7 linked regions of the Canis lupus familiaris genome follow. The protein of the gene in region 3 interacts with the protein of the main gene of each other region in a pairwise test. Links are inferred from orthologs where the notes say so. Each region holds a gene or a part of one and is shown on either strand. Other genes may lie near its edges.

What was found.
Region 1: the proteins of CREB3 (region 3) and PTDSS1 interact in a two-hybrid assay, tested with the Homo sapiens proteins (2 studies listed by BioGRID and IntAct). The two-hybrid records come from large-scale screens. The link is inferred for Canis lupus familiaris from reciprocal best matches to the Homo sapiens genes CREB3 and PTDSS1.
Region 2: the proteins of CREB3 (region 3) and P4HA2 interact in a two-hybrid assay, tested with the Homo sapiens proteins (2 studies listed by BioGRID and IntAct). The two-hybrid records come from large-scale screens. The link is inferred for Canis lupus familiaris from reciprocal best matches to the Homo sapiens genes CREB3 and P4HA2.
Region 4: the proteins of CREB3 (region 3) and LAT interact in a two-hybrid assay, tested with the Homo sapiens proteins (2 studies listed by BioGRID and IntAct). The two-hybrid records come from large-scale screens. The link is inferred for Canis lupus familiaris from reciprocal best matches to the Homo sapiens genes CREB3 and LAT.
Region 5: the proteins of CREB3 (region 3) and STX7 interact in a two-hybrid assay, tested with the Homo sapiens proteins (2 studies listed by BioGRID and IntAct). The two-hybrid records come from large-scale screens. The link is inferred for Canis lupus familiaris from reciprocal best matches to the Homo sapiens genes CREB3 and STX7.
Region 6: the proteins of CREB3 (region 3) and NDUFB6 interact in a two-hybrid assay, tested with the Homo sapiens proteins (2 studies listed by BioGRID and IntAct). The two-hybrid records come from large-scale screens. The link is inferred for Canis lupus familiaris from reciprocal best matches to the Homo sapiens genes CREB3 and NDUFB6.
Region 7: the proteins of CREB3 (region 3) and CACFD1 interact in a two-hybrid assay, tested with the Homo sapiens proteins (2 studies listed by BioGRID and IntAct). The two-hybrid records come from large-scale screens. The link is inferred for Canis lupus familiaris from reciprocal best matches to the Homo sapiens genes CREB3 and CACFD1.

The regions. Positions count from the first base shown.
Region 1 is NC_049250.1:41,482,667-41,485,843, reverse strand, and holds the end of PTDSS1 (phosphatidylserine synthase 1), read right to left. Parts: coding exon 3,142-3,177; intron 1,559-3,141; coding exon 1,449-1,558; 3' UTR 517-1,448; downstream 1-516. UniProt on the Homo sapiens protein: Catalyzes a base-exchange reaction in which the polar head group of phosphatidylethanolamine (PE) or phosphatidylcholine (PC) is replaced by L-serine. Catalyzes mainly the conversion of phosphatidylcholine.
Region 2 is NC_049232.1:20,528,413-20,531,955, forward strand, and holds part of P4HA2 (prolyl 4-hydroxylase subunit alpha-2), read right to left. Parts: intron 1,135-3,543; coding exon 997-1,134; intron 1-996. UniProt on the Homo sapiens protein: Catalyzes the post-translational formation of 4-hydroxyproline in -Xaa-Pro-Gly- sequences in collagens and other proteins.
Region 3 is NC_049232.1:52,554,009-52,558,068, reverse strand, and holds the start of CREB3 (cyclic AMP-responsive element-binding protein 3), read right to left. Parts: upstream 2,826-4,060; 5' UTR 2,430-2,825; coding exon 2,337-2,429; intron 2,232-2,336; coding exon 2,084-2,231; intron 1,995-2,083; coding exon 1,927-1,994; intron 1,813-1,926; coding exon 1,723-1,812; intron 1-1,722. UniProt on the Homo sapiens protein: Endoplasmic reticulum (ER)-bound sequence-specific transcription factor that directly binds DNA and activates transcription. Plays a role in the unfolded protein response (UPR), promoting cell survival versus ER stress-induced apoptotic cell death.
Region 4 is NC_049227.1:18,622,975-18,627,199, reverse strand, and holds the start of LAT (linker for activation of T-cells family member 1), read right to left. Parts: upstream 2,819-4,225; 5' UTR 2,460-2,818; coding exon 2,366-2,459; intron 2,187-2,365; coding exon 2,159-2,186; intron 2,046-2,158; coding exon 2,011-2,045; intron 1,733-2,010; coding exon 1,645-1,732; intron 1,511-1,644; coding exon 1,446-1,510; intron 1,355-1,445; coding exon 1,180-1,354; intron 1,100-1,179; coding exon 1,005-1,099; intron 1-1,004. Other genes in the region: SPNS1 (protein spinster homolog 1), read right to left, coding at 3,607-3,701, 3,981-4,152. UniProt on the Homo sapiens protein: Required for TCR (T-cell antigen receptor)- and pre-TCR-mediated signaling, both in mature T-cells and during their development.
Region 5 is NC_049222.1:25,723,754-25,727,982, forward strand, and holds the start of STX7 (syntaxin-7), read right to left. Parts: upstream 2,811-4,229; 5' UTR 2,677-2,810; intron 2,343-2,676; exon of another isoform or gene 2,123-2,342; intron 1-2,122. UniProt on the Homo sapiens protein: May be involved in protein trafficking from the plasma membrane to the early endosome (EE) as well as in homotypic fusion of endocytic organelles. Mediates the endocytic trafficking from early endosomes to late endosomes and lysosomes.
Region 6 is NC_049232.1:50,060,026-50,064,010, forward strand, and holds the start of NDUFB6 (NADH dehydrogenase [ubiquinone] 1 beta subcomplex subunit 6), read right to left. Parts: upstream 2,815-3,985; 5' UTR 2,701-2,814; coding exon 2,521-2,700; intron 1-2,520.
Region 7 is NC_049230.1:49,930,052-49,933,594, reverse strand, and holds part of CACFD1 (calcium channel flower homolog), read right to left. Parts: intron 2,319-3,543; coding exon 2,211-2,318; intron 1,721-2,210; coding exon 1,630-1,720; 3' UTR 1-1,629. UniProt on the Homo sapiens protein: Transmembrane protein which mediates synaptic endocytosis and fitness-based cell culling.

The sequences.
Region 1 (3,177 bases), on a different chromosome or scaffold from region 3:
CTGCACGAGGCTCTGAACCCAGCGGTCAGAGCAGGCCCAGGGGTGCAGCGTGTGACCCCAGCTCTGCAGGATTCATTTAACCCCTTTACCCCGGAATTCCTATGCAGGAAAAGAAAAACATGACAGTCCTAGGTGAAAGGTGTTGTTTTGGGGGGAAAGACATGGAGAACTCTGCTCTGTGAAGGAACAAGAGGATCTCCTTCAGCCAGTTTCTGTCCGTCTGCTAATCAGCTGAGTACTGGCCGTTTGTAGGAGGGGAAAATCCCACTGGGTTCATGCAGCCACGTGAAAACACAAGGACGATCTTGTTCGCCTCCTACTGGTCACTCGGGGAGCTGAGGAAATAGGGCGCGCGTCCGTGAGCCCCCTGAAATACCTGCCTCCCTCCTTCTTGCCTCATAAAGCATGTAGGCATGCGGATTACCCTGAGGTCACCTGAACAGGACAGTGACTGCTGACAGGTGGTGGAAAGTACCAGTAAGATGCAAAGAAATGAGCATTCTGCAGAGACTCATCTTTGATGGACTTTAACGTGAGTTATTTTATTTAAAACAGGAATCCATCCGAGGTGGTGAACTACCAGGGCAAAGGTTCTAGAGCATGGCACACGTGAAAGGTAATACTCACCAGCACCTGACATGGGACTAAAGGACAATGTCAGCCACACACCAGGAAGGAAAACAGAATGTCAAAGGCACCTGGCTGGGAGAGGAGCCATGGCGGGCGCTGCCTCTGCAGCAGGTTCACTTCTGCGCGCTGTGGACACGTCGGGACAAACGACATTTGGAACGGACGAGAAAGGTTCTGATCTGAAGCCTGGGGTCCTGGGTGGGGGGCTGACTTGTCCTCACATGGGTTTCCACCCACCGCGTCCTAAGGAGGGGGGCATGTGCTGGAGGGAACACACTCTCCCCGTCTCATCTGCAGGCGAGGGGCGCGCCCTCCCCAGTGCAGCTTCAGCAGTGGCCTCTCACTTAAAACCAAAGAAGCACGACGATAACACGAGACAGAACAGCAGCCTGACCCGAAACCAATCCGCGGGATGGGAGAGGCAGGTCCCTAACAACAAAAACCCGTCACCAGCTTGAACATTGGAAGGAAGGTGTGCCGACGACCCGCAACCACAGGACACCCACGCACGCTGTGGGCCGGACAGCTGGGCGCCAGGGCCGTCCCTTCCCGCGGAGCTCTGCGCCCCTACCAGGGACCACATGCCAAGTGCCGAAGCTGGACGAGACCCCGCATTGGCAAAGGATCCCAGGCGAGGACCTGCCGGGCGTGACCAGGTCTGCGGGAAACAAGACTCACGCTGTCCAGTGATGACCCCAGGCCCCTGTGCTCGTCCGGATGGCACCACCTCTTTGCCCTCGGCACAGGGAGGGCCACACCACCTGTCCACCCTCCCAGTTCTAGGCACTCTCCGGGACGTCCACGTGAACCAGGCTCCTTCATTTCTTTCCAAGTCCGTTGGTGACTTTCGACTTGGAATGCCGATTCCTTCTTCTGGAAGAGTGGCTCTCGTGGTTGCCTGGGTGCTTGGGTGGGCTGTCTTCAGAACCTGGCGGAGGAAGGAAGGAGAACACGCCGTCAGGGCTGCAGGGCCTGTGGGCTGGGCCTCAGATGGCCTCTCTCCGCCCAGGCCGCCCGCCGCTGATCCTTGCACTCCATCTAGTGGCTCGTGGCGGCTGGTGGAGGCACCAGGGCCGGCTGCAAACCCCGCAGGCAAGCAGGGCAGGCAGCCGCTCACCCCGGGAAGGGCGAGGGGAGGGGCGTCCTGAAGAACTTGCATGCCCTAGGCCCTCACCGGTGGGGGTGGGAGGGTGGGGGTGGGAGGCCTTATGCTCCCTGTGCTGGGGCGGGGGTGGGGGGTGGGGGGAACACATCAAATCCTGGCATGAGGCAGAATGATGAAGCCGCCGGGCGTCTAGGGGCCTCTCCCAACCAAGGAGGCATCACCCGAGGTCCCGCCTTGACCCGCAAGCCCCAGGGTCTCTACCTCCCTACACTGGAAGGTTCTGGACTTCACAGGACTAAAGATCTCCTGCCCTCTATCGGGGCCCAGAGCACACTTTGAAAAGTGGGCCTCTTACTGCTCAGGGCAGCCCCGGAGCCTCCCACGGGGGATGCCACCCCCCAGGATGCTCAGTCCCCGGGGCATCGCCGGTCACACTGTGGTGGGCCGAGAGCTCGCAGGACAGGCCTCCCAGGACAGGGGGTGGGGGAGCGCGCGGGGGGCCGGGGACGCGAGTGGGTCTGCGGACAGGGTTCTCTGCACCGGGGCTCAGGCCTGGGCCCACCCCAGGGCCGCCGCTACGGGAACCCCAGAGAAGCACGAGCTCTGGTCTCGGGGGCAGGGCACCAGCTGCAGGGCTATTTCTGTAACTGCTACGCCTCCCTGTCACAGGGACGCGTGTGCGGCACTGCCTGCTCGTCGCCGCCTCTTGGGGAGCAGGGCTCGGCGGGCCAGGAGCCAGGGCCGCCCTGCATGGGACCCCCGCCCACCTGCACCGGCCTGCAAACAGGTGTCCACCCGCCCCTGGCCCAGGTCTCGCGGGGCGCCCCCCGCAGGAAGAAGCGTGAATCGCGCGGCCCAGGGAAGCCTGGACAGCCGCCCGCAGGCCTACCCCTCCGTGGCCTCACGGCCTCCTGCGCTGCCACTGTCCCCTCGGTCCAGCCCCCGGGTGGCTCTGAGAGCCTGCGGGGGGCGACTGCACAGGGGCACCTCCCTGGCATCGGGCCCGAGCCTGCCCGCCGATGCCGCCAGGCCCACAGCTCCCCAAGGCCCTGCAGAGGCCAGTGGAGACCCCGGCTACGGCCAGCAGCTCTCCTCCCCGCACGTCGCTCCTGGGCCTTGGCAGTCAGGACGGCCCTCAGGATGCTACAGGCTCCAGGCCCCCGACATCCTCCCGTCACAAGGCGCAGACCCACGGGGCGCCTCTCCTCAGGAAGCCAGGTCCCCGCGGGGTCCGGCCACGACTGTGCAGGCCCCGGGGGCGCGTAGTGAGGACGCGACGGGCAGTCTGGGGCCTCGGGCGAACGCTTGCCAACACCAGGGGATGAACCCGGATCCGGATCTCCGCGCTGGGCCTCGAGACGAGCAGGGCCCAGCAGGGGGCTCAACACGGGCTGAGAAGGACATACCTTTTGAACCTTTCGCATGAGACCAGGAGATTTCCG
Region 2 (3,543 bases), about 32 Mb from region 3:
AGCATCCAAAGTCTAATAGGGTCTAACTGAACCACTGGGTTTAGTGGCCTCTAACAGTCCCCCAAACCCAATATATCTTCTTGTAAGCATACTGAGGCAATGAGGAGAAAGGGGCCTGTTTAAAAAATAAATAAAAATAAATTTAAAAAAGATAGTAGAAAGCCAAAAAGAGAAGCAATAGAGATCAGTGCCCCAGAATTCAAAGGAGAGAGAACATCAGGAAGACCGGAACAATGAAGGTGCCAAATACTACTGAAAAATTAAAGAACATTATCCCTGAAACTCATCCACTGGCTTAGCAGCTGAGTGGCCACTGGTGACTTGGCAGAGGCAGGATCATTGGAAAGTGGGCAAAGAGGCCAGACTCTGCGTGTTCAGGAGGACTCGGGAAGCAAGGAAGTGAAGAGCATGTGGATGACTATCCAGCAGCCTAGCCAGGTTAGGCTAAGCAAGAGATCATTGAACAGCAGAGACTCAAAGGGCCTTGGATCCTGAGGGAGGGGTTTGTAAGATGAATAAGAACCCAGGGTGTGTGTGAGCTCAGGGGGAAGAGCCAAGTGGGGTAGGCCAAGAATGAAATGGGTATAGGCTTATAACTGAGGACACACAGGACACAGGGCTAAATCCAGAGATCAGCCTTTGTCAAAAAGAAGTCAGAGGGTGTGGGGACAGAAGCAGGTCTAGAAGCAGATCTAAGTGGTGCTCTGGGGGCAGAGGCCAGGACGTCCTGAACAGCAGCCTTGGGCTTCTCTTAGAAGAGAAAGGAGAAGGTGTGAGAGGAAGAGGAAGGAGCTGAGGGGAGATGGCTGTCATGGGGCGGTAGGGGGTGGGGGAAGACGGACCTGGCACCAACTGGAAACCCAAAAGAGCATCACTGCCAACAGTGATGGTGTGCCTGAGGGTAGAGACCACAAGATGGCAGTGGCTCCAGCCCTATCCAGACGCCATAGGAGACACACATGCATGGATGGGCAAAGCCTGAGGTGGTTAAGGTACCTGGAAGTTGCCCTTTGGAAATTGTGTCTGGATCCAGCTTGTATGTGTCCTGAAGTCTCATCAGGGCCTTGGCGGCTCCCATTTCGTCCTCGTCCGTGGGGAAGAACTGCCGCTGCACAGAGAGGTTGGCAATAAAACCTTCCAAATGAGAGTGAGAACAGGAAGTTACCCTTGATCCAAGGGCACAATTCCACCTGGGATCAGAAAGGTATCCACGGGACAGTTTCTCCCTGCCCCTTCCCTCAAAGGCTGTTTCCCCTTCCTCCAAGAAGCCCTCCCTGATGACTCCAGTCCATGGAGATCTCTTTCTTCCTCCTCACTGTACGGAATGCCTGTACTACTCATTTGGAATTGAACAAAGATGGCCCCACAAACTGGTTAGCAGGTCTGAGAGTCTTGGCTCCAAAGTGCTCAGTCAGATCTGGAGGAGATAGAAGGGACAGAGGACAGAAATGGTAATTGAAAAGGACTCAGGGAAGATCTGTTGATCACTTAATGGAAAATGAATCACATGGAAAACCTTGATCCAGGATCATTGCAGGGGGCAGAGGGCCAGAAAAAACAGACCATCCGGCCCACATTCCAGGTCAAGAAGCCCAAGTGACAGAGGTGATTAACTCAGGGAACCTAGCTAGACACTCATTATTGACCACTGGCACTTATCATCCAGAAAGGTAATGATGACAGTCTCAGAGGGGATCTGGTGCTGTCTCCACCACCCAAATTAAGGACTAGGGGACCATCTGGCCAGAACAAGCACTGAGGTGGGCTGCTCAAGCCCTAGCATGGTACCGTGAGAGATCACACTAGCTCTTGTTCTTGCTCTCAAGAGGACTCCTACTACTCAAATCTGCAATGAATTCAAAAGGCATGAGCTCTCTGAATGTAGTGCTCAAGACCATAGCCTGGAACCTAGGCTAGTCCCTGACCAAAGAAATATCCAAGGAGGCTGTTCGAGGACTCCAAGCCCTGGCTCTGAAGCAAGACATGCACTCTTATAATCTCAGGACTCCAGGTGGAGGCCAGGCCCTCTCAAACTGATTCAGGGGTTTTAATTCTGACTGTGAACTAAGAATTGGGAGGGGAATGCCATGGCCCCTTCTTTCCTGGCCTCTTCCTCAGGGCAGCAGCACCCACAGCCACCTACTCTCAGGACCTCAGGCTCAAACACCCACTTCAAACCATGCCAAACCCAGGCACCAAGAAGCTGTAATCCTGCTTTTCTCCTGGCTGCACAGTCAGGGATTCTAAAGAGTCTGGAATTCAGGAAAAAGAAAACATGCCCCCAGAAAAAGCCACACCGTCAGCAAGTCCCCCTTCATCTCAAGTCGGAGGTAAAAACAACCTATTGCTCTCTGGGCCAGTCCTGTCTGCCTTCTGTTAATTATAAGGTTTTCTAAAAGAACCAGATGTTGACGGGGGCTGAGGGGGCGGGGGGAGGGGGGGGAGCTGGTGGTGGAAAGCAAGACCAGGGAGCGGAAGGTCATCCCGGAAGGCAGGCTTATTCTACTGCAGTGCAATGCCTGCCCGCAGAACAGCCAGTTCTGAGCTACAGCCCCAGGCTGGAAGACAGGGGGCTGGGAAAGGCAGCCATGGCTTCTGGAGGCGGTGAGCTCACTGGGCACAGTTCCAGCCTGGCTGAACTCACCAATCCCTCCCCAGAGGCCACCCTGCCCCCAGCCAAGCCCAGCCCAGTCTGGCCACATGGGCTGAACTGCCTCAGCCAGAGACAACTAGTCTGAAGTTAATCAGAACTCCCAACTCGGGGAGAAGAGTCACTGAGTTCAGGAGACTGAGCCCCAGGCTGGAGTCAGGAGGGCCCGCAAACATGCCTGCCTGACCATCTCCTGCTGAGAGGAAAATGTTAGAGCATAGAAAAATACCAGCATAGTCAAAGACATTAAGCACAGTTAAACTTTGAAAAATTTCATACTCTGACTTCCAAATACCACTTCTAGGGATTTAAACTAAGAAAAATAATCAAAGGCAAGGCATAAAGATGTATATGCACAATTGCTGATAATTTACAAACCCCACATCCACTAACTTGACCAGTTTTTTTTGTTTTTTTTTTTAAATTTTTTTTTAAATTTATTTATGATAGTCACACAGAAAGAGAGAGAGAGGCAGAGACATAGGCAGAGGGAGAAGCAGGCTCCATGCACCGGGAGCCCGACGTGGGATTCGATCCCGAGTCTCCAGGATCGCGCCCTGGGCCAAAGGCAGGCGCTAAACTGCTGCGCCACCCAGGGATCCCCTTGACCAGTTTTATACTATATCTGCATGACTTTACCGTACAGCCATTAAAGTCATGTCGTATAACATTTAATGGACATATAAAGAAGCTGAAAATTTCAGGAAAACACTGTATGCTTATGGCACAAATCTGCCTACAGATAGGTTTTCTCTAAAAGTTATGAATGGGAATGGATTTAGATGAGACCCATAATCCCTGGCTTACAATGGCCCCATCACCCAGCCTGACTCACTTTTTGTTAATTCATTTGGTCCCTCAAAGCAAGTGAGTCTGCATTTCCTGCAAAATAT
Region 3 (4,060 bases):
CTGTCTCTCTCTGTGTCTCTCATGAATAAATAAATAAAATCTTTAAAAATAAAAACAAAACAAAAAATCTTGGGGCACCTGGGTGGCTCAGTTGGTTAGGAGTCTGACTCCTGATTTGACTTCAGCTCAGGTCATGATCTCAGGATCATGGGATGGAGTGCCGCGTTGGGCTTTGTGATTAACAGGGAGTCCACTTGAGATTTTCATTCTCTCTCCCTTGCTTTCTGCCCCACCCTGCTGCTTGCATGCACAAGCACAATCTCTCTTTAAAATAAGGAAACCGGGATCCCTAGGTGGCGCAGCGGTTTGGCGCCTGCCTTTGGCCCAGGGCGCAATCCTGGAGACCTGGGATTGAATCCCACATCGGGCTCCCGGTGCATGGAGCCTGATTCTTCCTCTGCCTCTGTCTTTGCCCCTCTCTCTCTCTCTCTCTCTGTGACTATCATAAATAAATAAAAATAAAAAAAAAAAGATTTAAAATAAATAAACCTTTAAAAAAAAATCTTTAAATTTTCCTTATCCTAAGCTAACCGACATCTGCCTCTATGATTTCTATCAATTGAACTTACCTGGTACCTATCTCTGAGACCATATAGAATGAAGGTTTTTTTTTTGTTTTTTTTTTTAAGATCTTATTACTTATTCATGAGAGACACACACACAGAGAGAGAGAGGCAGAGACACAGGCAGTGAGAGAAGCAGGCTCCACGCAGGGAGCCTGCTGTGGGTCTCGATCCCGGGTCTGCAGGATCACGCTCTGGGCTGAAGGCAGGTGCTAAACTGCTGAGCCACCCAGGGATCCCAGAATGAACAGTCTTTAATTTAAGCCATTTAACATTTCTTCAGAGTTAAAAGATCTGGGCAAAAATTTTAACTTCTCGGGATGCCTGGGTGGCTCAGCAGGTTAGTACCTCCCTTCAGCCCAGGGCACGATCCTGGAGTCCCAGGATCAAGTCCCATATCGGGCTCCCTGCATAGAGCCTGCTTCTCCCGCTGCCTGTGTCTCTGCCTCTCTCTGTGTGTCTCTCATGAATAAATAAGTAAAATCTTAAAAAAAAAAAAATTAACTTCTCACCTCTCTTCGGGATGGACTGCATCCTCTTAATATCTGTCAAAGATCTGGGTTCAAAACTAGACACTAAGATGTGCTCTGGCCAGTATAATGGAGAAGAAGATGGTCACTGCCCTTCTAGAGGCAACACCTCTACTGATACAGCCTTCAAACCCCACTCTCTGTCATCTCAAACTAACCCATCTTGTACTTTTAAGAAAATTCTCTCAACCTTCCTGTAGTGTTGGTTTCACAACAGTACCACAATACTGTGCTTGTGAAGCTGCTATTCATTGCCTGAAACTTAAAACTTGGGATTTTACAATTATTCTTGCTATATTACTTAGTCCAGCCTTGATGAACTCTAACCATTTAGCTACAGGTGGATTACCATGAGTTTGCTTGCACAGTCCCTTCCAAGACCCTACACTAATGTTGCATCGATGATTTTGAATTCTTCTCAAAGAAAACACCAAAACTTGTATGAGCCCCACAAAACCAGGATCTGCCTCTGCATCCACCATATTAACATCATGCTCCAGCTTCCTATTACCAACAAATTTGCCAAGTTTTCTAACCTCAGTCCTTCCTGACATAAAGTTAACAGAAGTGCACACTTGGGATCCACAACACATCCCTCCAGCCTTCACTCCCACCAATGGGAGTCTTACCTTAGTAAGAGGAAGCGTCCCATGCAGAGTAAGCCCCTCCTTCTCCAACAGCCTCTTCTCTTCATCTGTCAGTATCAGCCTAGCAATCTCCTGGGATTAGTTACCAGGAGGTGGGCAGCAGAGTTGCAAGGGGATGACAGAAAGGAATGGGGAATCCGCCCCCACCCGCGCAATGTGGGAATGATCCCGCCATAAATCAAGTACCTGCTCTGCGGGCTCCTCCACTTGCAGTGGGGTCGTCTGGGCCTCTTCTTTTCCATAGCTCCCACCATCTGCAAAACGAAAAGTATAAATAGCCAGACCCACGAAGCCTCTCCTCCCCTCAAACCTCACTTTCTTCCTCATCATATTTCAGACTCACCTAGATCTATGGAAACATGCTGTTGTGAGAGAGAGTAGGTGTGATCATGGTGCACGAGACAGGAATCAGAGGAGCTAAGGACGTTCAACGATGCTGGGGGACTCAGCATGGAACTCAGGAAATCCTCTGCCTCCCATTCACTCAACGCCTGCACAGGGTTCAAATAAACAAGCCTTGACCTATCAACTACCCACCACCCCATGAACGCTCTCCCGGGATCCCCGCGCCTCCCCGGCTCGCAGCCCCCACCCACCTCGGAAAGCGGCGGCCCGGCCCCCAAATCGCCGCTTTCCTCTAGCAGGAAATCCAGCAGGTCCTGGTCACCCAAGTCCAACGCCAGCTCCATACCGGATAACAACCGGAAAGATGTACAGAGAGACCTATCCGCAAGCCCGGACCTGTCGCTCTGAAATTGCACCAGCCCCCAAGACCCGATTCTCCGCAACTTCCAACACCACGGAAGTGACGCGCACACCCCCGAGGCACCACGGGATTTGGAGTTCCCTCCGACGCGGAAGTGGCCTAGCCGCGGCGCGCCACGTCCCGGGAGCTCTGCAAATAGAGGGGACGTCCCTGCGGCCTCCTCACACCCTGAGGGCGGGCAATCTGGGAGGCCGCCTCCGCCTCGGCCCCAGGCTGAAAAAAAAGGAAGGGTTAGAGACCAAAGGGGAACTCGCGCGCAGTTCGGGCGTCTTCCCGGATTGCGCCGCACCCTTGTTTCCTGCCGGGGGAGCCGGCCGGGGGGCGGGGGGGGGCGCCTTTTTAAGGCCGGCTCCCGAGCATCGAGAGCTGGGGCCAGAGCAGCTTCCTGTTGCCCCCACAACCATAGAGCGCGGGCCCAGGGCGCCGCCCGCGGGTGGGGGACGTTCCGGGGACGGAAGTGGCCGAGAGAGTGTCGAAGGGAGGGCGAGGCCGAAGCCCGATTACCACCGGGAGAGCGAGCGGGTTATCGGGCCGGCGGGCGGGGCACGAGCCGGGCAGCGCAGGTAGGCCGGACCGGGCCGAGCCGGAGCCTCAGGGTGGGGCCGCACGGCCAGGACCGGGAAGCGAGCGCGAGCGCGGGTGGCAGCGCGGGTGGCAGGGCGGGCGGGGCCCTTGCGTCCGCTGTTTCGGGTCCTGTTGGAGAGGTCAGCGTCCAGTGTATCTCGGCTTGGGATCGGAAGTTAAGTAGGTCGTTTTAAGGGAGCCAAGCCTTTCCTGGGATCAAGTCCTCTCTGTCTGGAATAAGTTTTGGGGAGGGTGAGGAGTTGGGTGACAGTGAGGCGCAGGGCGGGGATCGGCTTTGAGGTTAGCTGATAGTGAGTATGCGGGTAGGAAAGCTGGGGGTGAGTTTGGGAATTAGGTAGAGTTGGGTTTAGGAATTAAAGGTTAGCTTACGGAGTTAAAAACCGGAGTTGACATTTAGAGTTACCAGTGTGAGTCGGGTCCGTTTTATGTAGGTAGAGTTTGGATTAGGTCATTATTCTGTTTCTGGCCAACGTAAGTCAAAGTTAGGGTTCAGGGCCGGTTTAAGGGTCAACACAGGATTTAAATTAGAAGTCCAGTTTTTTAGGGATTAGAGAACATTAGCATGGAACTAGGGATAAATCGCGAAGGGATGGATCAGAAGTCAAGTGAGACAACAGTTTTAGGCTTAGAGATCAACATTTAGAGTTAAGGTCAGGAAATTCATTCCTAGAGGTAAAAAGTAGATCAATATTAGGGATCAAGGATTGGGGACGGGTGTCTGCCAGGAAAGGGATGAATGTCAAAGCCAGTGTTGGGAAACAGGAACCAAATTAGGGTCAGGGTTAATATTAGGGATTAGGGTTAGTTTTATGGGGGTTATGGCTGAGGTTAGGGTAGCTGACCTTGGATATATTGAATTTAAGAGATTGGCAGTAGGTAGGTGCTCTCGTTTTGCAGGGAGGTCTCATTCCTACGTAGTTTCAGGGGTTCTCTAGCCCAGAGATAGGATAAACTCATTTCAGGTTAGGG
Region 4 (4,225 bases), on a different chromosome or scaffold from region 3:
TGCCGACTTGCTCCTCCACGAGGCCGTGGACAAGGCGGGCTCTGGAGCCAGAGCGCCCAGGTTCACGCCCGGCGCCAGCGCTCACAGTCGTGCAACCTCACAAGAGGTCCCTAACCTCTCTGGGCCTCGCTGTTCCCCCCAGTGTAAGAGGGTGAGCAGCAGCACCCCCTCCCAGGGGTGTCATGAGAACTAACGCAGAGAATATGGAAACAGGGCCTGTCCTACGGCAAGTGCCGCCGAGGGCCCGTTAAATAAATAACCCCTCGTGTCGTACAGTCGGGACAACCGAGGCGCAGGATGGGGAGACGTGGGCTCAACAGCACCTGGGAACCGTGACGTTTAATAAGTTAGTGCACCAGACACTCAGGAGGCAGGGAGTAGGCTCCCGACAACACTAGGCCTCATCCTGACGCCGCCTCTTGAGCTGTTTGATCAGAGGCGCCCAGTAAATATGGTGAAGGAGGGAAGGACAGGGGATGAACAAATGAAGGAAAAGAAGCCCTGGCACAGATGGCGAGTTGGCGATTGAGTTGGCAAATGGCACCGGATGGGCCGAACAGGTTTGGAGAATGAGGACAGGGCTGGAAAGCTAAGCTCGCCAGGCGCGGGAGGAAGCCTCCAACAGGCAGCGTGAGACCCACGCGAAGGGAGAAAAGCAGCTCAGAGGAAACCGAAACGATGCCGGAAGCAGAAGAAAACTTCCCAAAGCCCCTGCCGAAGAAGACAACCTATAAGATTTACAAGATGATGTGGCCTCCATGAGAAAGGAACAGAGGCCAAGAGAGAGCCTCCGGGTGGGAGAGACCGAAGAACAGAGGCCAGAAGAAGAGTGAATCAGAGAAAGGTCGCAAACAATAAAAGGGAAAGACCACGAAGAAGGAAAGAGGATGGGAAGGAAAGGAAATCAGGAGGTCGGAGTGGAAGTGCACCCTGAGGGACAGGCGTCCTAGAGAGAGGAGAGACTGCGGAGGGGCGGCCACAGGGACAGTCGCCCGGGAACTCACTGGAGAAGGCGCTGTCTCGGAGGCTGGGGTTGCTGGGCACCGGAGCCGGTGGGACCGCAGTGCCGGTGGCTGGCGTGCTGTCAGGAAGCACCTCCCTGAGGGGGAGTCGAGGGGCGGTGAGTGAGGACCCCCCTCCGGCCAGGGTCCCCACCAGCCCGCCCACCAGGCCACTCACAAGTAGCCCTCGTTGTGATACTCCTCCTCCTCGTCCTCGTCGTTGTCCTCGCAGGAGAGGTGCTCTGGGGTAACGACACAGCGATCAGGGCGCAGGCCAGGCCCCAGCCTCCCTGCAACCAGGGCCCCCGGGGCCCCAGACGCACCCTCGTTCTCGTAGCTCGCCACACTGTTGGCTTCGGAGAGAGAGCAAGAGGGAGACAGTCAGCTCAGAGGGGGTCTCGCCTCTGCCCAGCCCCAGCCGTCTGAGCCCGGCTCCACACTTACCACCATCTGAGTCCTGCCGGGAAGATGGCATGCGGTGGGAGCCCCCGGGGGGCTGTGGGGACCTCCTGGGAGTCAAAGGTCACAGGTTATGCTGGGGTGGGGCTCTGGGACAAGCGGATTGTCACAGGGAAGGGGACCCCCAATCTACAGAGGTGAGCCGGGTAAAGAGGGCGTTGTGAAGGGGGAGGATGCTACTTACGGGATGGGAAGCAGGTCCGGCTGGCTCAAGGGTGGGTAAGAGGTAACAGGCCCATAGGATGGGGCCGATGGCCAGGGCACAACTGTAGCTGAGGACACAGGACCAAGCACAAGGAGTGACTCCAGACATCTTGCCCCTACTCTCATTGAGGCCTCAAAGGATAGACTAGCCCCATGAAACCTCCTGTGCCCTGGACAGGCCCGAGGACACCCATCTCCCTCCCTAGTCCCAGATCAGGTCAAAGCCATGTGGGCAGCCACGGTGGAGGGAAGGCAGGAGGGGGGACCTGAACAAAGGCACACAATCTCTCATGCGCCAGGGACCCTCTCTCCTACACCCAAGGGAGGGGACCCTCCAGGTACTCACGAGGTCTTTTGATCACAATGCTACTTGGGGTCAAGCTGGCAAGAGAGACAGAGCTTGGTCAGGGGCAGGAGAGGCCCCAGCTCCCATCCCAGCCCCCAGGGTCACACAGGGTAGTGAGGGAGCCACACAGGGCCCATGGACAACTCACCTATCAGAGGCGGTGCTGTCATAAGAGCCTGGGGAAGAGAAGTCAGTGAGGCAGGAAGAGGGGTGGCGAGGGGAGAGGGTGGGAGCGCAGGGCTCTCAGGTCTCACACACGCAGGACAGAGGTAGGATAGAGCAAGGGGGTCAAGGAGGGCCGAAGATCCCCGAAGGCATGTCCTGAGAGCGGTGTTACCCGGCAGCCCGCACTCACCTGGCAGCTCTCGGCAGCGCACGCACAGCACTACGGCCAAGAGGGGCAGCAACAGGAGGCCCAGCATATAGGGGATCAGGACGACGGCCTCCATCTGCAGCAGAGCTTGGACCAGGCCTGGCTGCCTGCCGCCCAGCACGCTGAGCTGCGGCAGGGTGTGAGCTGGGCCAGCACGGGTGCGGGAACCCAGTGGGCACCAGCCTGGAAGCCTGACTGCGGGCCGGCTGTGCCCTCCTTGGGCACTCCTTGGACCCCCTGCCCCTTGCCGGGCCTCGCAGGGGTCGGCACTGCCTAGGGAAGACCCGTGATCCCAGGGCAGACCGACCAGGGTCTGGGCCGGAGTCTGGGGCGCCAGTCACCCCTGAGCGGCCCCCGCGCCCCAGCCCTACCTGCCCCTCGGCTAGGCGCCTGCCTCTCAGAGCCTGCCCGCCTGTGGCAGGAAGCTGTGGTGAGCCCCGGGTGAGGGCAGGAAATCATCGGGCTCAGCCGGCTGCCCCCGCCCCCTTCCCACCCCCACCCAGCCAGCGGGGAGGGGGAGGAAGAGGCCTTTGGAGCCACCCCTGGGTCCTCAGGAGGGGTCTGCTGGCCTCCGGGACAAAGAGCTATTCCTACCAGGGAAGGAGGGCAAGATAGTTACAGGCCACCCGACAGCCATGGCGTCCACAGCCAGGACTCAAGGGGGCAGCCAGGAGGGAGGCCCGGACGCTGGGAATCAAGGGGCACGGGGCAGTACCCACCCTACCTTACCCTGGCTGGCCTACCAAGAGGGGCAGGCTCGAGGGGAACCATGGGCGTGACTCACAGTCACACTGAGCTACTTCACTCCGCACTCTTTTTCACCCGGCCCAGGAGGGCAGGGATTTGCCCAAGGTCCCACACAAGTGACCCCATAGCCCCAGGAGTCCTGGGGCCAGAGTAGGGGCATCCCCTGCAGACAACCAGAGGTCAGTAACACCCACAGAGACTCAGGCAGGCACTCAGGGTCTGGCTACAAATTTTATTCAGTTACAAATAGCACCGAGCCCCTGGGGCTGCTCCAGGGGAGGGGAGTCCCCCTCCCAGACCCCCCAGAACCTCCCCACCCTGCCCTTGGCTGCTGCCTGTGTAGTGTGTGGGAGCCGGAACATGGCCCACAGCCACTCCTAGAAGCCAGGCCAGGCCGAGGGTTTGCGCCTGGGCACCTTCTGGGGTGGGCCTGGGGCCAGCTGCGGTACGTATGCAGGTTGGTGTGCGATGGTCCCTCAGATAAGCACACTGGACACAGGGACCCGGGTGGAGCGGCCTCGCTGGGGTACCACAATTCGGTCATCTGCAGGTCCAGCCTCACGCAGCAGACCTGCCGAGGGAGGGGTCAGAGCCAGGGCTGGATAAACAAAAAGACACAAAAACAGGGAGGGGACAGAAAGGCAGTGGAAAGTGGACAGGGCCAGCAGACCCACCAGAGCCATGAGCACAGTGGGATATCAGTTCGTTGGCCAGGCAGACCCAAAGCCGAATGAGGGAAGGGCTGTGGGCTCAGGGAAGCCAGGGACACGGGCTGGGACAGATGGACAAGCAGGCAGTATCCTGAAGTCGGCAAGGAGCCACGGGCGGACAAAGGGAAGGCCCCACTGACCCTGCACGTGCAGCTGGGCCCGCCGGCGGTCGCCCTCGATGAAGATGGCAGTGCCCAAGAAGGCTGCCCCACCCAGGGCCCCCACGAAGGCGCAGAGCATCAGCGAGAACTGCAGGGCACGGAACTCGGACAAGAAGGAGGGGGGCCAGCTCCGGCGGAGGCGGTCGGAGATCTGCAGAGAGACGAGTAAAGCAGTGCCAGGAGAATGAGCCACAGAGAGGGAGCCCCTGGACTCCAGAAGGACA
Region 5 (4,229 bases), on a different chromosome or scaffold from region 3:
CTCTTGACGAATATTTTTGAAAGCTCATTCAGAATTCCTAGTTTTATTGCTCAGAATAACATAACTCATTATCCATACCTGCTCTATCAAGTATTCAAAAATCACATGTGAGGCCAATGATTTGTATAGTTCATGTAAAACATTTCCATCACAGCATAAAGTTCTACTGAATAGTGCTTATGTAAACATCTTAACAATTACATTTCTATGAAAATATATAAGCACTGTAAAGGGAAAGAAAGAAAGAGAGGATCAAAGGGCAATACTCGGGGATCCCTGGGTGGCGCAGCGGTTTGGCGCCTGCCTTTGGCCCAGGGTGTGATCCTGGAGACCCGGGATCCCACGTCGGGCTCTCGGTGCATGGAGCCTGCTTCTCCCTCTGCCTGTGTCTCTGCCTCTCTCTCTCTCTCTCTCTGTGACTATCATAAATAAAAAAAACAAAAACAAAAAACAAAAAAAAAAAGGGCAATACTCATAACAAGGATATTCTCAAGACTTTCTGTAGAGCACAAATAAAAGAACAAAGAAAACTGTGAAAAGTTGTGTCAAGCACTACTCCCAGGTACTACTACTGTACACACTGCAGAATCCTAAGACTCTCATTAAACATAAATCTCATGCTCTATAAATCAAGCATGGATAGAGCAATAGAAATAGTCAGTTTCACCTTCTTAATAGTGTGTACTGGCATAAAACAATGGACTTAACTCTACCCCTTACCCCAAAATATAAGTACCCAGAAGAGCAAGGTTTTGTCTGTGTGCTACATTAGTCTAAGTACTGGGTTATGTAATAGGTGTTTAACAAATATCTGAAGACTGAATGAATAAATGTGTCTATTTCCTAAGAACACAAACCTAGTCTGAGAATAAACATTACCAATCCTCAGACACTACATTCCAGTGTCTTCTTTCAGATCCTAAATGTACTGGGCTTATTATTGCCTTAGGGCCTTTGCTGAGTGCCATTTCCTATCCCTGGAAGGCTCTTCCCATGATCTTCACATGACTGGCACCTTTATACAAGCAAAGTCTCATGGCATGCTAGGTAAGTCTTTGGTGACTTCGGATCTGCAATGAGAAGTTACCACCCCGGCACTCTCTGTTGATCTAACTTCCTTTATCATCATGCTACTCACCACTCTAAAATGATCTAGGTAGTAAATTGCCTTCTATTCCTACTTTGGTGATATAAACACAAGACAACCTTGTCAACCTTGCAGAGTCCACAGTATAAGGCGCATAGTGGATGTTCCATGAATGGGGAGACGATCATTCCATGATAGACATGAGTGTTCTCTATCTAAACCAAATTAACCGAATTCTTTAGCTCAGCATCCCCATCTGTTAAATTTTTATACTATTTGGTTTTACTCACAATACCAAGGGTTACTTTTCACCCTTCCATACACTAAACTTTAAAATTAAATGGAATCGCAGCAAACTTTACTCAGACTTACTGCAGATGTTTTATATATTTATTTTTCCATCCTTAGATCTTGGCTAAAGTTTGATATCCTAACTAAAATGAGGATATAACTCTACCACTGGGAGCAGCAGAAGTAAAACATCTGAAGGAAAATGATGCAGACATTCGGAGGTACTGTGGTATCATTTTAACATCTATGGAAAGTCTGAAACTAGACCATAATTCTTAATTAGTCACCGTCTGAGACAAACTTCCCAAAGCGGCCTTCAATGCAAGGCGGTCCACATCCCAAGACACGGCTGAACACTGCTACAAGCCCCTGCCCTGCCCGGGTGAGGCTAAGGCTCCTGAAAAAATGTCCACCTGCAACATTACTCAACAACAGAGCCCTTCAGAATCATTTTCTTCCAGATTCTGTGAAAGTTTTAAATTATATATAGTCATAGCCAAAAGACACTGATCTAAATCAAACAAAAAAATCAATGTATCTATAGGAAAGCCAAGCAAATACACGAAACCGGAGAGGGAAAAAATATATAGCATTTGACCAGAAAGGTATTTTTCTTTGTGTCTGAATTTTTAAAAAGCAACAGCCTAAAACACAATAAGGGGGGGTGGGGTGGGGGGAGGAGAGGCGGATCTTGAAATACTTTACACATTCTTAAAGGTTTTGGGTAAATCATTAATGACATACACTGAGATCAAAGAAAAGGTAGCGTGTCTTGAAGCCAGACAGAAAACCAACCGCAAGGAGCCTCCGAAGGGACAGATGTTACACGGTTCCTTTACTCTCGAGCCATCCAGTTTCAGTTCCTCTGTGTTAGGGAAGAGAGCTTTAAAATGTGTTTTCTAACTCCATGCGTCGTAAAGAGGAAGCGACCGCTCGGTGACCCGCTCCGGGCAGCAGCAGCAGGACTCCCGAGCTCCGCCCCAGCCGGCCCCGCCCCGGGGCGCGCAACCCGCGGGGGCACCGGAGCCAGCGCTCGCGGGATCGGCGGGCGCGGGGCCGGCGGGATGGGCCGGGGCGGGCGGGATGCGCCGGGGGGGGGGCGGGATGGGCCGGGGCGCGGACCGCGGCGGCGCTCCCGGTTTGGGCAGCGCCCGCCCCCCCGGGCTCCCGACCACAGCCGCAAAGCGTAAGGCGGCGGCCAACTGGCAACGCGCACAGACGAGGAGGCGCGGCCGCCGCGGGGACTTAGTGCCTCAAGAACGCGGGATCCGACCCCCCGCCCCCCAGGCTGCTCTTACCCCGGCTCCTCCGCGCCGCCTCCTCCTCCTCGGGCCAGCCGCACCCACCGGCACCCGACCCCCAGCTACGGTTCTCAGCTGATGGGCGGTGGCACTGGGACGCCCAGTGCGCATGCCCGCGACCCGGCTCTGGGGAGGAGGAGGGGCTCGTCCCCCTCTCGTTGGCCAATGGGCTTGAGTGACAACCATTCTGCCCCGCCCCCTCCGAGTCTGGGCTAAGGAATGGGGGCGGGGGACCAAAAAAAATTTGCAAAGGAGGTGTTTTTCGAGGCCTAGCCTTACAGACGGCAAAAAACCAGAGGAGGGAATGGAGAGCAGCTGCGCTGATCGGGTGATGGCGGCCCCCCCAGGCTCACGCCTTCAGCCTGCCCCATCAGGGCCTGCCCAGCCTGTCCTTACTCTGCAGTGGAACGTATCCACAGCTCCATTAAAAAATGGTAACGCAAATAAGCAATGCTAGCAGGAACAAAGACAGCATAAGTGAAGAGTCACCTTCGTGTGCCCATTTAGTAGACTAGTTTTCATAGCACATGCACGTCGTTCCAAGCATCCTTGAAGGGTAGAGTGTTGTTTCAGCAGGGTTTGAAAAAAGCAGAGAATGTTCTACTGGTAACTATTAAAACATAATGTAATTGTTAGATAAATGCATCAGTTGCATTGGGTGAAAGAAATACTCAGCAAATTAATTAGAAGATAGAATGGGTTGGCCTTTGCCTGTATTAAGGCAACACTATTATTCTGAAAGGATCATCAGGACATGAAATGTCCAGATGCACTTAGGTGAAAAAAATCAAAACGAAATGTCTTGAGTTGGTACCATCTGAGCCAACTCTAGGTTGTTTAGTAGTGTACATACATATGTGCCTAAGAGAGTGAGGTCAGACAGGAATAAGAAACACAAGGGTCTCTCAGTTTGTTTTTAATTGTTCTGTTTTTAACAGAAAAAAGGGGAACCAGAAATATTTCCTATTTCACATCTTTCCTGAAGTAAACTGCAGTACAAGTGTTTTAATAGACAGCCACCTTTATTCTGCTTCTAAAAGGGGGGCAATAGAGTGGGTCTGCTGGCCAAGCAAAAGAAATTCATTCCTTCTAAAGGAAACAGGAGGACAGCCTGGGTGGCTCAGCAGTTTAGCACCACCCACGGTGTGATCCTGGAGACCTGGGATTGAGTCCCGCATCAGGCTCCCTGCATGGAGCCTGCTTCTCCCTCCGCCTGTGTCTCTGCCCCTTTCTCTCTGTGTCTCTCCTGAATAAATAAATAAAATCTTTAAAAAAATAAAGGCAGCATGATTCAGTTAGCACTGATTGCAGACTTTCGGAAATTCAGATTTTTATGTGAAATCCCTTTTTTCAATATTCTTAAACTTTTAGAAAGCATTATTTGCTCAGATAAAGTATTTCAGCTTCTATAAGGCAATAGTTTCAGCTATAAAGTATAAAAAAAAAACAAACGAAAAAAGCTGGAGGAGGACTTACAGAAAATCTAGTTCTACTTCCTCATTTGGGAAATAGATTAAAGGAACTGAAAGCCAAAGAAACTTCGTCAAAAG
Region 6 (3,985 bases), about 2.5 Mb from region 3:
TATAGAAGGAAAATTAACTCAAAGTATGGAAAAACAGACTAAAATAATTATTTACTTCCTTATACCACTGGCTGTTGGGTGGGATGTCCACTTTCAACCAGTAGCTGCCAAAATCAACAATGTCAGGGATAATGTCAGGGATACAAAAGGTGACAGCAAAGTTGAATTAGAGTTTAATTTTACCACCATAAATAAGTATCTAATACCACTTTCTCAGAAAAATTTGCACAAGACTTGGTAGCACAGTAAGAAAGTAGATACACTTGGATCTCAATGTGAACTCCTTCAACTCCTAACTCTGTGACCACCAATAAATCACTCAATTTTTGTAGGTCTCATTTTCTACTACACATTTAAATTAAGGATTTGGAGTAGTTTCTACCTTACAGAAGTAAAGAATTAAATAAAGTAACACATGTCACACCCTCAGCAAAATGCAGGGCAGAAAGTAAGTACTCAAGTGTTACTTAATAGTGTCACTACCATTATTATATTAGTCAATGTCGTGGCTTGTTGAAAGCAATTTTGAGATAAGAGTGTTCATCACTTAAATTGATGTAATTTAATGACCTAAGAAAATGTCCAGAGACCCTGAAAATAAAGACAGCTCTTAAATGAGTGACTTTCTGTAGTGTAAAGCCCAGAAATGTCACTTTTAAATTAAACAGTGTGTTAAAAGTACATAGTGGTAGTTCAGAAAGGTGGTTCTTGAATATTACTCATTAAGCATACCACCATCTTTTATGGTGATCACATGGGGTTAGATGACCAGTTAGAGGCTCCTTGTGTCTTCTAGTAGTTGAGTGTAGTGTTATCCTCTATAACCTCAACCTTAAAAAGCAGATAGGTGTTCTTAAATAACTAAAGTTACAGAATTTTCACTCAAGTGAATCCTTCTATCATTCTGCAAAACCTAAGCAAAGATTTGCCTCTTTAAGAATATCCACTGGAAAAAGGACAGTCTCTTCAATAAATGGTGCTGAGAAAATTGGACAGCCACGTGCAGAAGAATGAAACCAGACCATTCTCCTACACCATACACAAAGATAAACTCAAAATGAATGAAAGATCTAAATGTGAGACAAGAATCCATTAAAGTCCTAGAGAAGAACACAGGCAACACCCTTTTTGAACCTGGCCACAGCAACTTCTTGCAAGATACACCTATGAAGGCAAGGGAAACAAAAGCAAAAATGAATTATTGGGACTTAATAAAAAGCTTCTGCACAGCAAAAGAAACAGCCAACAAAACTAAAAGACAACCTACAGAATCGGAGAAGATATTTGCAAATGACATATCAGATAAAGGGCTAGTATCCAAAATCTATAAAGAACTTATTAAACTCAACACCCAAGAAACAAACAATCCAATCATGAAATGGGCAAAAGACATGAGGAGAAATCTCACAGAGGAAGACATAGACATGGCCAACAAGCACATGAGAAAATGCTCTGCATCACTTGCCATCAGGGAAACACAAATCAAAACCACAATGAGATACCACCTCACACCAGTGAGAATGGGGAAAATTAACAAGGCAGGAAACCACGAATGTTGGAGAGGATGTGGAGAAAGGGGAACCCTCTTACACTGTTGGTGGGAATGTGAACTGGTGCAGCCACTCTGGAAAACTGTGTGGAGGTTCCTCAAAGAGTTAAAAATAGACCTGCCCTACGACCCAGCAATTGCACTGCTGGGGATTTACCCCAAAGATGCAGATGCAGTGAAACAACGGGACACCTGGACCCCGATGTTTCTAGCAGCAATGTCCACAATAGCCAAACTGTGGAAGGAGCCTCGGTGTCCATCGAAAAATGATGGATAAAGATGTGGTTTATGTATACAATGGAATATTCCTCAGCCATTAGAAACAACGAAAACCCACCATTTGCTTCAATGTGGATGGAAGTGGAGGGTGTTATGCTGAGTGAAGTAGGCCAATCGGAGAAGGACAAACATTATATGGTGTCACTCATATGGGGAATATGAGAAATAGCGAAAGGGATTATAAGGGAAAGGAGGGGAACTGTGTGGGAAAAATTAGAGGGAGACAAACCATGAGAGACTCCTAACTCTGGGAAACGAACCTAGGGTGTGTGAGGTGGGCGGGGGGCGGGGGTGGCTGGGTGACGGCACTGAGGGGGGCACTTGATGGGATGAGCACTGGGTGTTATACTCTGTTGGCAAATTGAACTTCCATAAAAACAAATGGGGGAAAAAAAAAAAAAAGAGTCGCCTCCTTCTCGTCACACTTGACAGCGACAGGGCAGGACTCTGCCAAAGCTCCAAGTGCTCCTGAACTCCAGAGCTTCCAGCCCAGGACTCTCGGGACAAGTTAGCGAACCTGCTAAGCCTAAGTCCCGGTTGAACCTGGTTCTCCTCCAAGGAACCGCCTGGCCTTGCCGGCCCAGAGTGATGTCAGTCCCTGGTGTGGCCACAACGGGCAGGAGGCGCCCAGCAGCCAGGCTGGGGGTCGCAGCAGGGCGCGAGCATCAGCGCCGGGGAGGCCCCTCACTCACCACGTTCTTCCAGGGGGTCTGGTCCCGCAAAAACTTATTCCAAAATTTCTCCATAGGCCACACCCGCTGCGGGGGCAGCACCGGCTCCCGGGGGCTCAGCTCCTGGTCCTTTAGCCATCGCCTTCTCAGCTGTTGGAGCTGCTGCAGACGAAGCTTCTCGTCTGGCGTGTACCCCGCCATGTCGCCGCCGGCACCAAGGCAGGACCGGGCGCGTCCCCGGCCAGCGTCAGGTCACTTAGGCGCGCAGCCAGCCCCGCTCCGAGGCGACCTTGCGAGGACGCCGGGAGCGGCGCGCCATTATGACGTCACCACGCTCCTGCCCCTGCCGCTGCCCCTGCCCCGGCTGCAATCTGCGCGCGGCGGCTGGGCTTGCGCAGTGTCTCCGCGGCGATTACCCGCGAGCCGGGTGGCGGCGCGTCTTAGCTGTGGGAGAAGGCGAGGCCGCGTGACCGGAAGAAGGAAGCAGGGGAGGTCCCAGGTCGGAGTGGCGTGCTCGGCCCTGGGAGGACGAGGGTGTGATCCGATGAATGTGAGGTCCAAATGCAGATTCTTCAGCCCCTCGCCCGCCTTGGTGCTCCTCTTCCCCCGACCTGGAGAATGCGGAGGACGGTACTTCCAAGTTTACGCCCCCAGCTGTGTGAGTAACTAGTAAAGTGACCTTGGGCAGTCTCAGTCCGCTCCCTCATCTGGACGGCGGAGGCAGAAAGAGTAGCTAAATGTCTAACAGAATTTGGCACATTCATGCTTTGACCCAGCAATCCCGCGTCGAGGACTCTATCCCAAAGATACGGTGGTAAAAATATGAAAAGAATATGCAGGCATATTCACTGAAGCACTATTTACAATCAAATGCTGGAGATTATCCCCAAATTCCTCAATAGTGGACTGGTTGAATGAATTATGGTGCAACACTGGAATGAGGTGCTCTATATGCAACCGTGGAATGATCTCTAGAATATATTCAGTGAAAGAAAACTAAGTGGAGGGAAGTGTATATAGTATGCTACCTTTTATCCCAAAAGAGAAGAGTGGTAGTAATACTAAATATACATATATGTTTGCTTATATTTTAAAAATAAAAGGAAGGAAACTATTGTTTTGTTTTAAAATGCTACCAGTAGGGGAGGAAAGGGAATAGGAGAGAGGAGACAGGGATAGAAGGTAGGCGTCTCTGAATATATCCTATGTAATCGATTTAGTCTAAAGCAATGTAAACATTTTATTATAAAACAATTAAATTTACAAAATCTCCTCTAGAAATCAAAAGTAAAAATACATGAATCTAACTGATCTGCTACATGGCATAACCTCCAGAACACACACCATTTCAATTAGTTTAATCCATCAAATTACTATACATCTGTATAGAGAGAGACACCTCAGAGAAAAAGGAACTGCCAAAAAAGAATCTTAAACTGTTTTAGGTAATTATATTGTTGGTAGTGGTGGTATTATTAATCTGACA
Region 7 (3,543 bases), on a different chromosome or scaffold from region 3:
TGAACCTAGTGCTTGTTTGAGGAAGGTGGTCCCAGCGGACACCTGAAGGCACGTGTCCCACCTGGCCGGCCACCACAGGGCTCAGCCTGGCCAGCTCTGGAAGGCAGCAGGGCCCTCTGCTGACCAGAAGCCCTCTGACATGTCCCCAGGGCAGTGACTGCTGCTCTCACTGTCCAACACTGACAAGCCCCCAGAGAGCTCCCTCTGGGAAGCAAAGATCAGGACACAGCCTGAGGGGGGTTTCAACAAAGCAGGGCTGGGGCTGAGCTCCAGCTGTGAGCAGGCACAGCCAGGTCCTAGGGGAAGAATGGGCGGGAGCTGGGCCCCAGAGGGAGACTTGTCCACACCAGCCCGTCTCTCCCCAGTGCCCCCCGGGCTAGGCCAGGCCCCGTTGGATGGGCCTAGCAGCTGGGGGGCCAGTCTGGGGAGCAGAACGGCAGCGGGCTAAGGCAGACACACGTAGGGGACACAAGTAATGACGGCATGGAGGGTGGCCGGGGTAGATGGCGCACATCCCGGGTAGGGCTGCTTCCTTGGGCCCTCTGCATAGGCCTTGTTCCCTGATGGCCTGGCACCTGGAGCAGTGGGGACAGCTTATGGTGGTGGAGGCAGCTGTGGTCTCTGCCCAGCTCTCAAAGGCAAGAAGCTCCCCGAGGGCACGGTAGGGGGCAGGCCAGCAGGAATGCTGGTGGGTCAAGCTTAGCCCTAATAACCGGGTTTGGGCCACGGCTAACATGGCAGGACCGCATCAGACAGGCGGACAAAGAGCCCCATGGGACAGAGGAGAGCCTGCCCTCCCCAGCTGCTTAGCACCAAGGCCCTGGGGGTTACGGGGAGAACCTGGGAGCATGGGCCAGGCCCGTGAGAAGTCCCTGGAATGGCCTGTCCAAGGTTCCAGGGAACTGAGACAAGTACCCAACTGTCTACCCGCTGCCAAAGCTGCTGTTCTGGGTACTCGAGGAGCATCCTGGGAGTGCTGTGGGCTTCCACAGAGAAGAGAGAGATCGGGAGGGGCCTGGGCAGTGGTAAGAGACCCTGGGCAGCAGGGCACAGCTCTGTCCCAATGGCAGGTGAACAGAGGGGGCCCAGGTGGCTCAACCTACAGGGTATGTTCCTGCCTGGAGAGCCAAGAGGAGGCTCCCTCTGACCAATGCCCAGGCCCGGGTTGACGTGCCTCCCATCTGAGCACAGGCCCAGCATCTCCAGGGGAAGTTCCTCCCAAGCCTTCAGCAGATCCCCGGTGGTTCTGCTAGTGCTGTAATTCTGGAAATGTGCACAGCAGTCTGTTTCTGGCCAAGCCAGGCCAGCTGTGAGAAGTGGAGCCAGATGGGCTGTCTGCATAGCTACTGCAGGCCCTTCCTCCAGTCCTGTGGCCTGGGTCACCCCTGAGGCTACCTGCTGTCCCTGCCAGTCTCCTTGCTGCTGGCTGCGGTCCAGGGCCAGGAGATACCAAGCTATAGAGAGGAAAAGACAGAAGAGGACTCCAGGTGTAGGGACAGGCGTACAGGGACTGCTGGGAGCCAGGCAGGGGCTCCTCCTCTTCCAGGCTGTCCTTCGGGGTCAATGCTCCAGGCCTTGTCCTTGCAGGATGTGTCCACACAGAACCAGAGGGCGAGCGGGAAGCTCACATTACAGCTCCCCCTCCAGGGTGTCCGTGAGTTTCTCCTCATCTGCCTGCTGCTTCTGCTGCTGGATCCTGGCATAGGAGATTGCATCACCCCTGGGAGAGAACGAGTCCACATCACAGTGAGGACAGACCCCAGGCACACAGCCCTCCCAGCCACCACCAGATTCCTGGCCTGTGACCAAAGCATGACCTGCAGAAGAGACTACTGGGCCTCTGGTTTCCCCAGAGACCCTGTTGCTACGATGGCACACATATCACCTCTAAGAGTGGCACAGGCTGCCTGGGATGGTGGGTGGAGAAGGACTGAGAGTTGCAGTCTTGATTCTGAGGGCAGAGGAAGAAGCTCCCCCAAGCCAGACTTGCCATCCCCACTATCAGCTGCGGCAAGGTACAGCCGGGCCACCAGAAGCCCATGAACCCTCTCGCTCTCATTCCCTAGAGCTGAACACCCTGGGAACACTGACAAAAGTCACTGACAACCTCTGTGCCTCAGTTTCCGCAAACGGCTAAGGGGGGCCTGTCTCTGACCTTCCTCCCTGAGAGACTTCAGATTCCTCCCAGGGGCTGGGAAAAACATACGTACTTTTTGCCCAGAGCAGACAGCCCGTACAGTACCCCGGTGGCAAATGCAATGGCGTTGCCCAGCAGCGTGGTTAGGGTCAGGCTGATGACAATGGGAATGATGGCCATCCTAGGAGAGAGGCAGAGGTCAAGGGGGTACCCCCATCCTGAAGCTGCCACCCCACCTCCAGGCTCCCCAGACCAACCCCGGCCCCCTTCCCAGACAGCCAGGTACAAGAAGGGTCCCTAGAAATCAGTCTGGACATAGGTTCACCAGCAGGCTTCAGAAACACCCATGCACCTGTCCGCACAATTCTCTGTATTTTCTGGGGAGAGGACATAAAGCCTTCATCAGATCTTTGAAAGGGTCTGTGGCACACAAAGGGTGAAACAACCCTGGGACAATCCACCCTCCCTGTTCCTAAAACAGTTCACCCTCTACTGGCTTAGCGACTGGCAAGTTCCTGAACTCCTCCCTGTTAACTACACAACACAATGCCCGGATCAGCAACATCAGCACCAAACATATGGTAGCTCTTCATGCTGCAGAAAAGCCAGCCCCGTCTCACTAAGAAAGATCCCAGAGCTTAAGCTGCAGAAGGCGTGGGGCTTCCTAGTTGCAAGGTTCCCAGCAGGAGCAGCCCTGGCTCCATCTTGTCCCCTGACCACAGTCTGGTGCCACTTGGTGGCAGGTGTCCACTCGGGCTCCAATGTCTCTAGGGCTGACTCCACACGCTGGCTGGGATTCCCAGACCAGGGGCAGTGGCTAGGGTGAACCAGAGGACCAGCACTCCGTCCTGTCGCTTCCCTGGGCCAGGCTGCCTCCCCAGCAGCCCCACCTGCCCTCACACACCCTGTACACAAAGAAGGTCAGACTGGGCCACCAGACTGGCCAGTCGAATTCCACCTGACTTTCTATCCAGAACAGACAAGTAAGTGATCGTGAGGTTTTACTGTGGTTATAAAATCTCTAAGTAAAAGCATAATAGAAATGACACACACACAAGAAGAGCACAGAGGAAAATCTTCTGTCAAAACAAAGGCAAACCAGCTGAAAAAATATTTGCAGGAAATATAACAAAGGATTAAAAAATCTTCACTGCAGGAAATGTAGGAACTTGCAACGTAAAACAGTAAGATGCCATTAATGAATGTCTCCCATTAATAGGTAAAAAGTAAATTAGACCATTTTCAAAAAAGAAAATGCAATTAGCAAAAACATTTGGAAGAACAGGTCAGTTCCTAAACAACGGACACAACTGTAAAACGGTGCATGGCCCCGGGAGGGTTTGGGCCATGGAGGTGGTGGAAATGCTGAAAACCTTTTTGGAAAGTAGCAGTCACGTACTGAAACC